Rattus norvegicus: one gene and its partners. The protein of the gene in region 2 purifies or fractionates together with the protein of the main gene of each other region. This does not show direct contact. Links are inferred from orthologs where the notes say so. Each region holds a gene or a part of one and is shown on either strand. Other genes may lie near its edges. The genes, in order: Sf3a3, Sf3b6 and Snrpd1.

What was found.
Region 1: the proteins of Sf3b6 (region 2) and Sf3a3 purify together in Homo sapiens (affinity purification with mass spectrometry; 3 studies listed by BioGRID and IntAct, with this or other methods). This does not show direct contact. The link is inferred for Rattus norvegicus from reciprocal best matches to the Homo sapiens genes SF3B6 and SF3A3.
Region 3: the proteins of Sf3b6 (region 2) and Snrpd1 fractionate together in Homo sapiens (co-fractionation; 3 studies listed by BioGRID and IntAct, with this or other methods). This does not show direct contact. The link is inferred for Rattus norvegicus from reciprocal best matches to the Homo sapiens genes SF3B6 and SNRPD1.

What each region holds. Positions count from the first base shown.
Region 1 is NC_086023.1:142,269,299-142,272,580, reverse strand, and holds the end of Sf3a3 (splicing factor 3A subunit 3), read right to left. Parts: intron 1,623-3,282; coding exon 1,567-1,622; intron 801-1,566; coding exon 723-800; 3' UTR 544-722; downstream 1-543. UniProt on the Homo sapiens protein: Component of the 17S U2 SnRNP complex of the spliceosome, a large ribonucleoprotein complex that removes introns from transcribed pre-mRNAs.
Region 2 is NC_086024.1:33,544,012-33,547,762, forward strand, and holds the start of Sf3b6 (splicing factor 3B subunit 6), read left to right. Parts: upstream 1-1,483; 5' UTR 1,484-1,741; coding exon 1,742-1,771; intron 1,772-3,751.
Region 3 is NC_086036.1:1,972,523-1,976,173, reverse strand, and holds part of Snrpd1 (small nuclear ribonucleoprotein Sm D1), read right to left. Parts: intron 464-3,651; coding exon 272-463; intron 1-271. UniProt on the Homo sapiens protein: Plays a role in pre-mRNA splicing as a core component of the spliceosomal U1, U2, U4 and U5 small nuclear ribonucleoproteins (snRNPs), the building blocks of the spliceosome.

The DNA of each region.
Region 1 (3,282 bases), on a different chromosome or scaffold from region 2:
TAATTTATTTTCTAAGGCAGAGTCTCACAACAGCACCCTGAGTGGCTTTGGACTCAGATGCCTGCCTCTCCCCAGGTGCTGGGACCAAGGCCAACTACAGCTAATTTCTTTAGGCAAATAAAACAGGCAAACCTTGAAACCACTCTAAGCCTCAGGTCTGGTTCACCCTCCTGTTTTCTCTGATATTCACACTGATGGCTGACTCTACTGAGGGCAGAGTTCATGCCGGCATGAGGCTCATTTGGGAAGTGGCAGTGAAGGGAGAAACGTTAGGTCTCAATTACTTGACACATGCCTGGTGAGGCGGTCCAGATCTGTAATCTCAGCACAGGGAGGCTGAAGCAGGGCTGGTGGGAGTTCAAGGCCAGCCTGGGCTATCATTGAGACACACAGACAGAATTATATATAGGTAGTAATAACTACCCCTAAGTCTAAGCCAATATGGAAGCTGGTGAGAACCAGACCAGGAGGCATTAAGAACAAAAGGATTATGTTACTTTATAGACCTGGATTTCAGAAACAACACGTCTAGAACAAGGGCTGTTTTATTTTCCCACAAATCTTTTTAATATAAAACAAAGATAAAACACATCTCAATTCTGCAATCTGTCAGCATGTCTTCTTCCTACAAGGTAGATACTACATAGCAAAAAGTCTTTAAGAACATTTGGTTGGGAAAAATTTTCTCAGGCTTCTCACGGAAGCCCAGGCATGGCCAACCACTAGAGCAGTCCTTGTCTTTTCAGATCCTCGTATGTCTTCTTGTTCACAACATTTCCACTGGAGTCTTCATATTCTTCCTGAAAAGGAAAGGCCGTTAGCTACACACTGCCAGAAACCAGCATTAATTTAACATAACTTTCTCAACCAGAGCTCCAAGAGGAATCCAAAGCTGTTTCTAGATATCTAGAGTGGCACCAGTCGTGGCTCACCCTTATCCCTTCATAGTCTTTCAAGAAATGCCTTGTGTTTGAGACAAGGAAGCCTGACAGGGAAAGCCTGACAAGGAAACCAAAACAGCAGTGTGAAATGGTGCCCAAGCCTGGGTTTCTGCCCTTGGGCCACTGCAGGAGTTGACAGCGAGGCCAGTCTTGTGTTTCAGGTCTACATTACAGCTGGAAGGGCTCTTGATGCAAGAAAACAAAACTGCAATACTGACATAGAATAAGAGACTACTGTCGGTCTGCACAGGACCAGGACGTTACTGCCACCCCTTCAATGTATGGTAGCCATCTCTGAGACCTGTCAAGACCAACAAGGACAGATTCCCACTCTGAAGAGAGGACCATCTCTGACTTGATGCTTTCCTCAGAGACCTAAGAGGTGACAGACTTCTTTAGAAATCCCCAGGGTAGCACAAGAGACGGGGTGCCCTTATTCACAACTGCCTCAGTGGGAGAAGTGCCTGATGACAAAGACTTAAAGCATACATGCCGACAGGCTCACACACGTGTAGACACTGTCATTACACTTGCTAAAACAGAAAACTCTCTAGCCTCTCCTGTCTGCGTAGTGAGGGAGCCGTCACTTGACGCCACACCTAACACGATCCACATTAACACCCACCTCGGTGTCAGGCTGCCATCGTTCTGAAGCCTTCTGCAGTTTCAGCTTGGCCCACACTGCAGGATGAGAGGTAAGCAGCCATTAGGCCCTCAGTCCCCTGGGTACAGTGTTACATCATTCTCACCGCCCCGCTCCCCACAGGCTCCCGACTGTCAGCCCCCCAAACAGAATTTTGATTTAGAACAACCTGTAGATAAAGCCCCTCTGATTGAGAAATTACCACAGTCTCACGTTGCTGTGAAAGAAAAACTGTCTTAGGACAGAGACCAGAAATCAGCATGGAGGTTCACTCCTATAACCTCAGCACTTGGGAGATAGAGGAAGAAGGATCTGGCAGTTTAAGGCTAGCCTTGGCTACATACTGAGATTGAAGGCAGTTTGTGCTAAATGAGCAACCCTGGCTCAAAAACCAAACAAACGGTAAAAAGAAAGCTCTCTCAAAAGAAGCAGTTTGTACAAGAGTCTAGCGAAACTGTGGGATAAAATAAAAAGGATCATAGCTGAGAAGGCTTCTTAATACATGTCCTGGTTAGGGCTTTATTTTGTTTTTTAAGACGGTCTCTCTATACAGTCCTGGCTGTTCTTGTGCTCGGGTTGGCTTGGAACTCAGAGATCCTGCCTCTGCCACCTGAGATTGGGGAGTACTGGAGTGTGACTTAAGCTCAGCTTTGTCCTGGTTAGTTGTATCTGGGAAGAAGGAACTTCAATATGCCCCCATCATATTGTCTGTACTGCATTGTCTCGATTAGTGATTGACATGGGGTGCCTCCACTCACTGGGGGTGCTGCCACTCCCGGGCAAGATGTCTTGCAAGTTGTAAGAAAGCAGGCTGAGCAAACTGTGGCGAGCAAGCCTCTGATGGGTGTTCCTCCACGTCAGCTGCCCTGATTTCTGCCCTGAGTTCCTACCCTGACTTCCCTCAGTGACACACTGTGACCTCAAAGTGTAAGCCAGACAAACCCTCTCCTTCCCGGGTTGTTTTTGGTCATGTTTATCCTAGTAAGGAAGCAAACTAAACTATAAGCCACACTAGTACCCACACTGCCTTAAAACACAGCCAACAAATGCTGCCATGTTGCTTTCGTGTGCGTGCGTGCGTGCGTGCATGCATGCATGCATGTATGGGCTATGCATACATGTGTGCATCTCTGAATACTCATAATCGCCCATGATGACCTGAGTTTGATTCCCACAACACATGACGGAAGGGGATCCACACATGCATGACCATGCACACATGTGAGCACATACAAACAGTTGCACACAGTAAAGAAATGTAAGAAAAAATGTTTTTCAAGACAGGGAGGGCTTCTCTGTGTAGCCTTGGCTGTCCTGGAATTCACTCTGTAGACCAGGCAGGCCTGGAACTCAGATCTGCCTGCCTCTACCTGCTGTGTGCTAGAATTAAAGGTGCATTCCATCATCACCACCTGGCTCAGAAAAAACGTTTTTAAGCATTTGAAATGTAGATTTACGGGCTGGAGAGATGGCTCAGCAGTTAAGAGCACCCGACTGCTCTTCCAGAGGTCATGAGTTCAATTCCCAGCAACCACATGGTGGCTCACAACCATCTGTAAAGAGATCCGATGCCCTCTTCTGGTGTATTTGAAGACAGCTATGGTGTACTTATATATAATAAATGAATAAATCTTTAAAAAAAAAAAAAATGTAGATTTACAATTCATGCTATTACCTTGACTTAATTTCCTATCAACA
Region 2 (3,751 bases):
TGCACTTGTATTGATTTATTTTGAGGCAAGTTTTACTAGGTAGCCCAGGCTAGCCTCAACCTCCTGCCTCAACCTCCAAGTACTGGGATTACGGGTACACACTGTCAGACCTAAATTTGATTTAACTAGTACCAATTTTTGTTTCCAACATTACTACCAATCTCTCTCCTTTGGAAGATGCTGGAGTTGATCCTATTGGGAGAATGTCAACTGCCTGGTTCTTGAGGGTCGCCACGTTCTCTGTGGTTTAATAGAAGCTGTTGATAAGTTTTAATGTGCCCTGTTTTTAAAACTATTTTGAAACGAGGAAGTCCCATCACTAGTTTGCTGCGATCTAGGGATAAGGTGAGTGCTGAGTGAAAGAAAGTATGAGTGACACCCAAAAAAACTGCCTTTGTACATACCCAGTCATAGCTCACTTTAGGGAGCCTATGAAGAAATCTGCCACCTTGTGTATCGATGGGTAACTGTACACAGAGAATTAATTCTCCCAACCCTCCCATGTATTCCTATATTTATTTATATAGCTTTCTATCAGGATTAACAGTATAAAGTCTTAATATAGGTCCAAGGCTTTGTTTTCAGGGTAGACCTCTTCTCAGTGTATTAAGAAAGCCTATTAGGTAAGTAAGTTTGAACCTTCAACAGATTTATGTTCCTAAAATCTTCTGTAGCATTACAGAAAGAGCCAACTTTGGAAATATATTCCGTCAGTTTCTCACCTAATGGGTAAGATAAGGCTTCATCATTCCTCTTGTATTAAGCTATGTAAATCTATCAGTTACACCAGTACTTTACTGCAGTCTTCCATCCCGGTACAGAATTAGGTTGCACATTGGAAGCACTCTCTTTCATGACGGTAAGTGGAAGGGTGTGCTGTTTCTGATACTCAGAGAACATTGAGACTGGCAGGATGGGGAATTCAGGTTGATATTCTTTTCCTTAGTACAAACAAACACTGGTGGAAACTTTCACCGAGCAGATTCTGCCCTTCTCTACGGACAGCCCCCAACGTCTGCTGCCGGTTCTGGAAGAGTCTACCCAGCAACTGATATTCATGTGGCTAATATGTGGACGCTAACAGGAACGTGGGTAAAATCGTCTTGGAGCTGCCCCAAGGAGGACCTCAGAGCAAACTTGGGAGTGGGCTCTCTTCCCAAGTCCGCTCCTGTAAAGCTGGTCTAAGGAAATAAAAAGGTGTATGTGAAGGGCGGTGTGCTCTGTCTGCGTGGACAAGAGTCGCGGGAACCGGGTGAGGGAGTTCGACCGTCAGGTGAAGCGCGACCCGAGACCCTGGCCCCGGGATAGACCTTCCGAGTAAAGGAGGCGCTGGCCAGCCACGAACGCCTCCGAAGCCTAAGGGCTAAATCTCAGACCCTAGGTCCGTTATCACTCGTGGACACCGCCCCTCAGTCCTCAAGCCACACCCCTTCAAGCGGAACACCTCCCTTCCTGTAGCACTCGCCCCGCCCCTTCCGGTCCGGTATCCGGAAGCGTCTTAGAGCTCGCTTTTTCGCCTTCCGGACTGACAACGCGTTCTCTCTAATTTGACTTGGAGCATCTTTTCTAGGAAGTAAACACGTCCTAGTTTGAGACGCGGACCTTCCGGCAGTGCCGTAACAGCTTCCGGCTTTACCTGGCTGTAAATATCCTGTATGTGGCGCCGTGTCGCCCACGAAGGCGACTGAGTTTTTAGAAATACCCAGAAGGATCTTACGGTAACCTACATCGGCCCGCCAAGATGGCGATGCAAGCGGCTAAGAGGGCGAATGTGAGTACCCCGCTTTCTGTGCGGTAGGGAAGCGATGTCGTTGCTTGACTGTCGCAACGGGTGTGGGAGCGTTTTTTGTCCCTCCGCCCACAGGTGGGGAAAGCTCGCGTTATCTGTTCAGTCCAAGGAGATTCTGTCCTGGCCTCATCCTCAGGGGTGGGTTTCTTGAGCGACTTTTCGCTCCGCCCCGCTCTAGTGAGAGCCCCCTGGTATCAGTGACCGTGTAAGGTCTACAGTCACTGCTGCTTGACCTACACCAAGGACCAAGTGTTAGGATCTTCTGAGTCCAAAAAGATGTACCGAGTAACTCTTGTTCATTGCCAGCTGGAGCCTGGGGTTTTTCTCGAACGTAGAACTTTGGGAATCCTCTGTTGATCTATGTAAGCGCCTGCTGTGTCTCTGGTCTTACAAACAGGAAGCAATTCATCAGTTGTATTTATTCAACACCTACTATGTGCCACATGCCGGTGACACCTACTATGTGCCACACGCCGGTGTTAGGTGTTGGGACACAGCAGTGAATTAAGCGAAAAGTCGGGCTTATGTTCTACTGTTGTCAGTGAGCGGAGTGTTATCAACATCTTTAAGAAAAGAAAATCCTGGGGCTGGGGATTTAGCTCAGTGGTAGAGCGCTTACCTAGGAAGCGCAAGGCCCTGGGTTCGGTCCCCAGCTCCGAAAAAAAGAACCAAAAAAAAAAAGAAAAGAAAAGAAAAGAAAATCCTTTCAAGAAAGTAGGAAATGGTTAAAACTTAGAATCTCACCAAAACAAAGACACATAATTGGCCATTGGATATTCTGATGAAGATTTTGGGCAACCGTGTTTATGCAAGTCATTTCAGTGAATGAAACCTTGGTTCCTGTAGAATGAAAAGATGCAGGGAATTAAGACAAAACTGCAGAGTTGGTCCTATGATTTTTCTTATTAATAGAGAAATCGAGCTGTTCTAAATATACCTAAAGTGCTTTTTACATACCATTGAGAATGAGCCAATAGAATGGTAGAGACCTGATAAAAGAACAATTTGTTAAATCCTAGAGTGCAGCTGGGATGTGGCTCAGTGGTAGAGTGCTTGCCTAGCATGCATGAGCCTATGAATTTGATTCCCAGCACCTCAAACCATGACAGAAATAGGAGTGGTTAGTATACCAATAGAAGAAAAATGGATAGATATCGATAAATAATGTTTAGCAATAGGAATATATAGTTCCCATTGATCATATCTGTTGTCTTCAAGAAGTGCGGAGCCAGGATCATATCCTGTGTTGTCTGAGAAAAGTATAGAGCCCCTTCACATTTACAGGGAATGAAGGTGGTGAAGTTTTAGGAGAGGAGAGGCTCACACAGTGTTTTGTAGTGAGAAAATGGATTTACTGGAGAAATATATCTGTGTGGCAGTTGTTGATTATAAAGCTTGACCTGGAAATCTGAAACGTTTATAGTTTGTTTAACAATTATCACCACTACTCATGTGAAGGTAGGGAATAAGCTTTTTTTGTTTTGTTTTGTTTTTTTGTTGTTTTTTTTTTTTTTTTTCGGAGCTGGGGACCGAACCCAGGGCCTTGCGCTTCCTAGGTAAGCACTCTACCACTGAGCTAAATCCCCAGCCCCGGGAATAAGCTTTTTTTAATGTATTTATTAGTGCGTGTGTGTATGATATAAAGCACATGTAGGACAATTCTGGGGAGTCCGTTCTCTACCAAGGGATTAACAGGTCATCAGGCTTGCTAGTAACTGCCTTTCACATGCTGAACCAGTTCGCCAGCCTGAGGGGAAATATTCTTTCATTCATATAATACTTAGCTTCAGACCAAAGCCATGTCAGTTTAATAAGTAATTATTGTCATTTCTTTGTTGACTGCAGTTGGGAAGAGTGAGCTGTGAGTCAGCAGTGTAGAGTAAGAGTCTAAGAGTGAGGGATATGCAGCAGGTCAAGCAAGCAGCAAACTGTAGGATGATATTAATGCCAAAGATAGGAGGA
Region 3 (3,651 bases), on a different chromosome or scaffold from region 2:
ATGAATTTACAAGTATTTATCAAGCATCTAAACAAGTGGTAGAGGGAGAGGACAGGGAAGCCATGCAGCCAGCCCCCAAATCTAGACTCCATGGAAGAAAAGAACAGCAGAGAGGACTGGAGGGCTGGCTCTTCTCCACAGCAGCACCAGGAGCTCTGCGTAGCACATGTACTAAGACAAGCACACGATGTTCTGAGCGACAAGAGTACCATTGTTCACAAACATACTTTGAACAGTGAGTCACACTATATATAAACACCTTTACACTTACCAGCCTCTCTTTTCTTAGACTTCACTTTAGGTTCGACATCCACAAGTAGTGTATCTAGAGGTAAACTGTCTGGTAGAATAAAATACCGAATGTTATTGCCTCGAATACTCAATGTTTCCAACTGTACAGGCTCTCTGTTCTTCAGGGTCATTTTCACAGCTTTAAGGTGCGTATTCATGCTGACATCTACACCTAAAGGGGGGAAGCAGAACAATTACCAGCATGATAAGAAGGCAATCTACCTTGTGGAAATAACACCCTAGGGAGTTCTTTTTTTTTTTTTTTTGGTTCTTTTTTTCGGAGCTGGGGACCGAACCCAGGGCCTTGCACTTCCTAGGTAAGCGCTCTACCACTGAGCTAAATCCCCAGCCCCCACCCTAGGGAGTTCTTAACTGCTGTGTCACAGGTCAGTTCCTGTGACAACTGAATACACGCACAATGGGGGAAATGCCAAATACACGCACAGTGGGGGAAATGTCAAAAGAAATCAGTAATGTTCCCTTCACAACGACTTTTCCTAGCCATAATGCTTCTGTACAGAGCTGAGTGCACGTACAGAACTGAACGCACTGGTGGTGTGATTAAGTGACTCCTGTAATCTCATCATTCAAGAGGCTGAGGCACAAGGAATGCACGTGTTCAAGGAAAGCCTGGACAACAAAGAAAGAACCTATGTGCAGACAAAGGAGACGAGCTCAGCAAGCTATGAAGAGCCATGAGCCCACTACCTTCAGAACTCAATTCTTATCCCAGGATTGGATAGTGTTTGCAGTAAAATCCTCCCATTGTCCCCATAACTTCCTACCCTCTAGCATGCCACAGGTCTTTCTTCTTAAAGACCTATGGTATTTTTCCCATCACAGGTAATTTTCCCTATCACTAGGAACTCTTCCCCCACTTTCCTGAGACAAAGTCTATGTGCCCCAGCTGGTCTCATACTTGTAATTCTCCTGCCCAAGTCTCTCAAGTGCTTGCTCTACAGGTACTCACCATCATACGCAACTTAACACACCTATTTAGTTACTTACAATGACTTTTCAGGGGCCAGAGACACGACTCAATGGTAAGTGTGCAAGGCTCTTACAGAGAACCAAGTTTCTCTTGGAACTTGGAATCAGGAGGCTCAGAACTAATTGCCCGTAACTCCAGCTCCAGAGAGACCCAGTACCTCTGGCCTCCAAGGCCCCTGCACTCACATACATACAGAGTTCTAAAACAGTCTTAGGACAATGTATTAGTATGAGTATGGTTATATGGGAAGGCAAGTGTCTGTGCGCTATGGTGCACGTCTAGAGATCAGGAACCACAACAATCAGTGTGTGCTATGGTGCTATGGTCTAGAGATCAGGAACCACAAGATCAGTCCACTCTTTCGTCTGTGTAGATCCTGAGGCATGGACTTGGCTGTCAGGCTCGGCAGCAGATGCCTGTACCAAACAGCTGAGCTGACACTCCCCCTATCTTGTTTTCTGAGACGGAGTCTCTCAGAACTTGAATTACAGGACTAGAAGTACCCAGCTTTGGGGAGCTGGGGTCTGAACTCAGGCTCTCAAGCTTGTATAGTGAGCACTTCCCAACTAGATCATTTGTCTGGGTCCTTGTTATGTCTTTCTAAGTGGAAAGGATTTGTTTTTGTGGTGCCATGGACTGAATCCAGGACCTCAAGCATTCTAGGCAACTGCTCTATCACCTTGTAATACGCCCTTAACTGAGCCTGTCTGTATATTTGTTTTTTTCTGTTAGACAGGCTGTTACTATGTAGACCAGAGTTGCCTCAAACTAAGGGTTCCGCTCCAGCCTTCTAAGTATTGGCATTACAAGTATGAGCCAATGCCAGGCTCACCTTACTGCTCTTTTCTCTAAAAATTCACTACTACAAATCCTTTCTTTGCTAGGCAGGAGTGAAGCAGCAGAGGTAGGTCAATCTTACCGAGTCAAGGCCATCCTGCTCTACAAACCATGTTCCAGGACAAACAGCTATACTGAAAATCTGTAACAAACAAACAGAACCCCCCCCCCAAAAAAAAACACCCAATAACAAATGCTTTCTTCTTTTTCTCCGAAGAAGGAAGTTCTCTTCTTTCCTAGATAGTCTTAATACATTCCATCTCCTCTATATGCTTATGTGTATACATTCATATAAGATACAGAAACGTATGTTAGTGGTTTGTTTTGCTTTTGTATTACAGTTTTCATTGTTAGATTTTGACAAGAAAAGGGGGGGGCGCAAACATGCCACTCTGGGGTTCGGGAATATAGCTCAGCTGGTAGTATACTTTCTTAGCATACATGAAGCCCTGGTTCCAATCCCTATTACTAAATAAAGAGGTGTGGTGGGCATGTCTGTAATACCAGCAGCCAAGAGCTAGAGGCACAAAACCAGAAGGCATCTTCAAATATACACAGTGAGTTTGAGGTACATTCTAGAATACATAAACCCTACATCTAAATAAGGAGAACGAGGGAGGAGGAGGAGGAAGAAAGAGGAGGAGAGGACAAGATCTTTCCCAATGCTGTTCTACAGAAAACAGACCAAATCCATCCTCAAGAAACTTTAAGGAGGGCAGCAACTGTATACGTCCTTAGATATGCAGACTGCGCACATCTAGAAACATAAACAGGCAGCTCCATTCACAATTAGCATTGAAAACTCCTAGAAAAGCCACAAAATGCCATCCCATTTTCTCCTGGTTTACTAAAACATTGGACCTACCTATTAAAAACTTAGACATCTACAAGCTCAGTATTTTAGAGAATAGAAACACATGTTAAGATACTATTTTTCCCCCTTCAATAACCACTTAAAAGAAAGTTTTAGGAGAAAATAATAAAGGATGAACAATGATAAAAATCAGTTCATATACACAGAAATACCATAGTAAAATATCATATATAATTAACATAGGCCAACAACAACTTACAGTCAAACATGAAACACAAAAGCACAAGTCTCAGATGTGTTTTGGAGGAAGCAACATTCTATGCAGAACACATGCAAGCAAAAGGTACACAAGGCAAGAAAACAGGAGCAGCACCAGCAATTTGGTTTAGTTGTAGTGCAAGAATGTAAGAGGAGGGGGTTGGGGATTTAGCTCAGTGTTAGAGCGCTTGCCTAGCAAGCGCAAGGCCCTGGGTTCAGTCCCCAGCTCCGAGAAAAAAAAAAAAAAAAAAAAAGAATGTAAGAGGAGTCAGGCTGGAGAGAGGGCTCAGCAGGTAAGAGCACTGGCTGCTCTTCCAAAGGACCTGGGTTCAATTCCCAGCACCCACTTGGCAGCTCACAGCTCCAGGGTAACTCCAGATCCAGGGATCCAATAGCTTACACCGACATACATGCAGGCAAAACATTAATGTACATAAAATGTTTTAAAAAGATGAGGTTT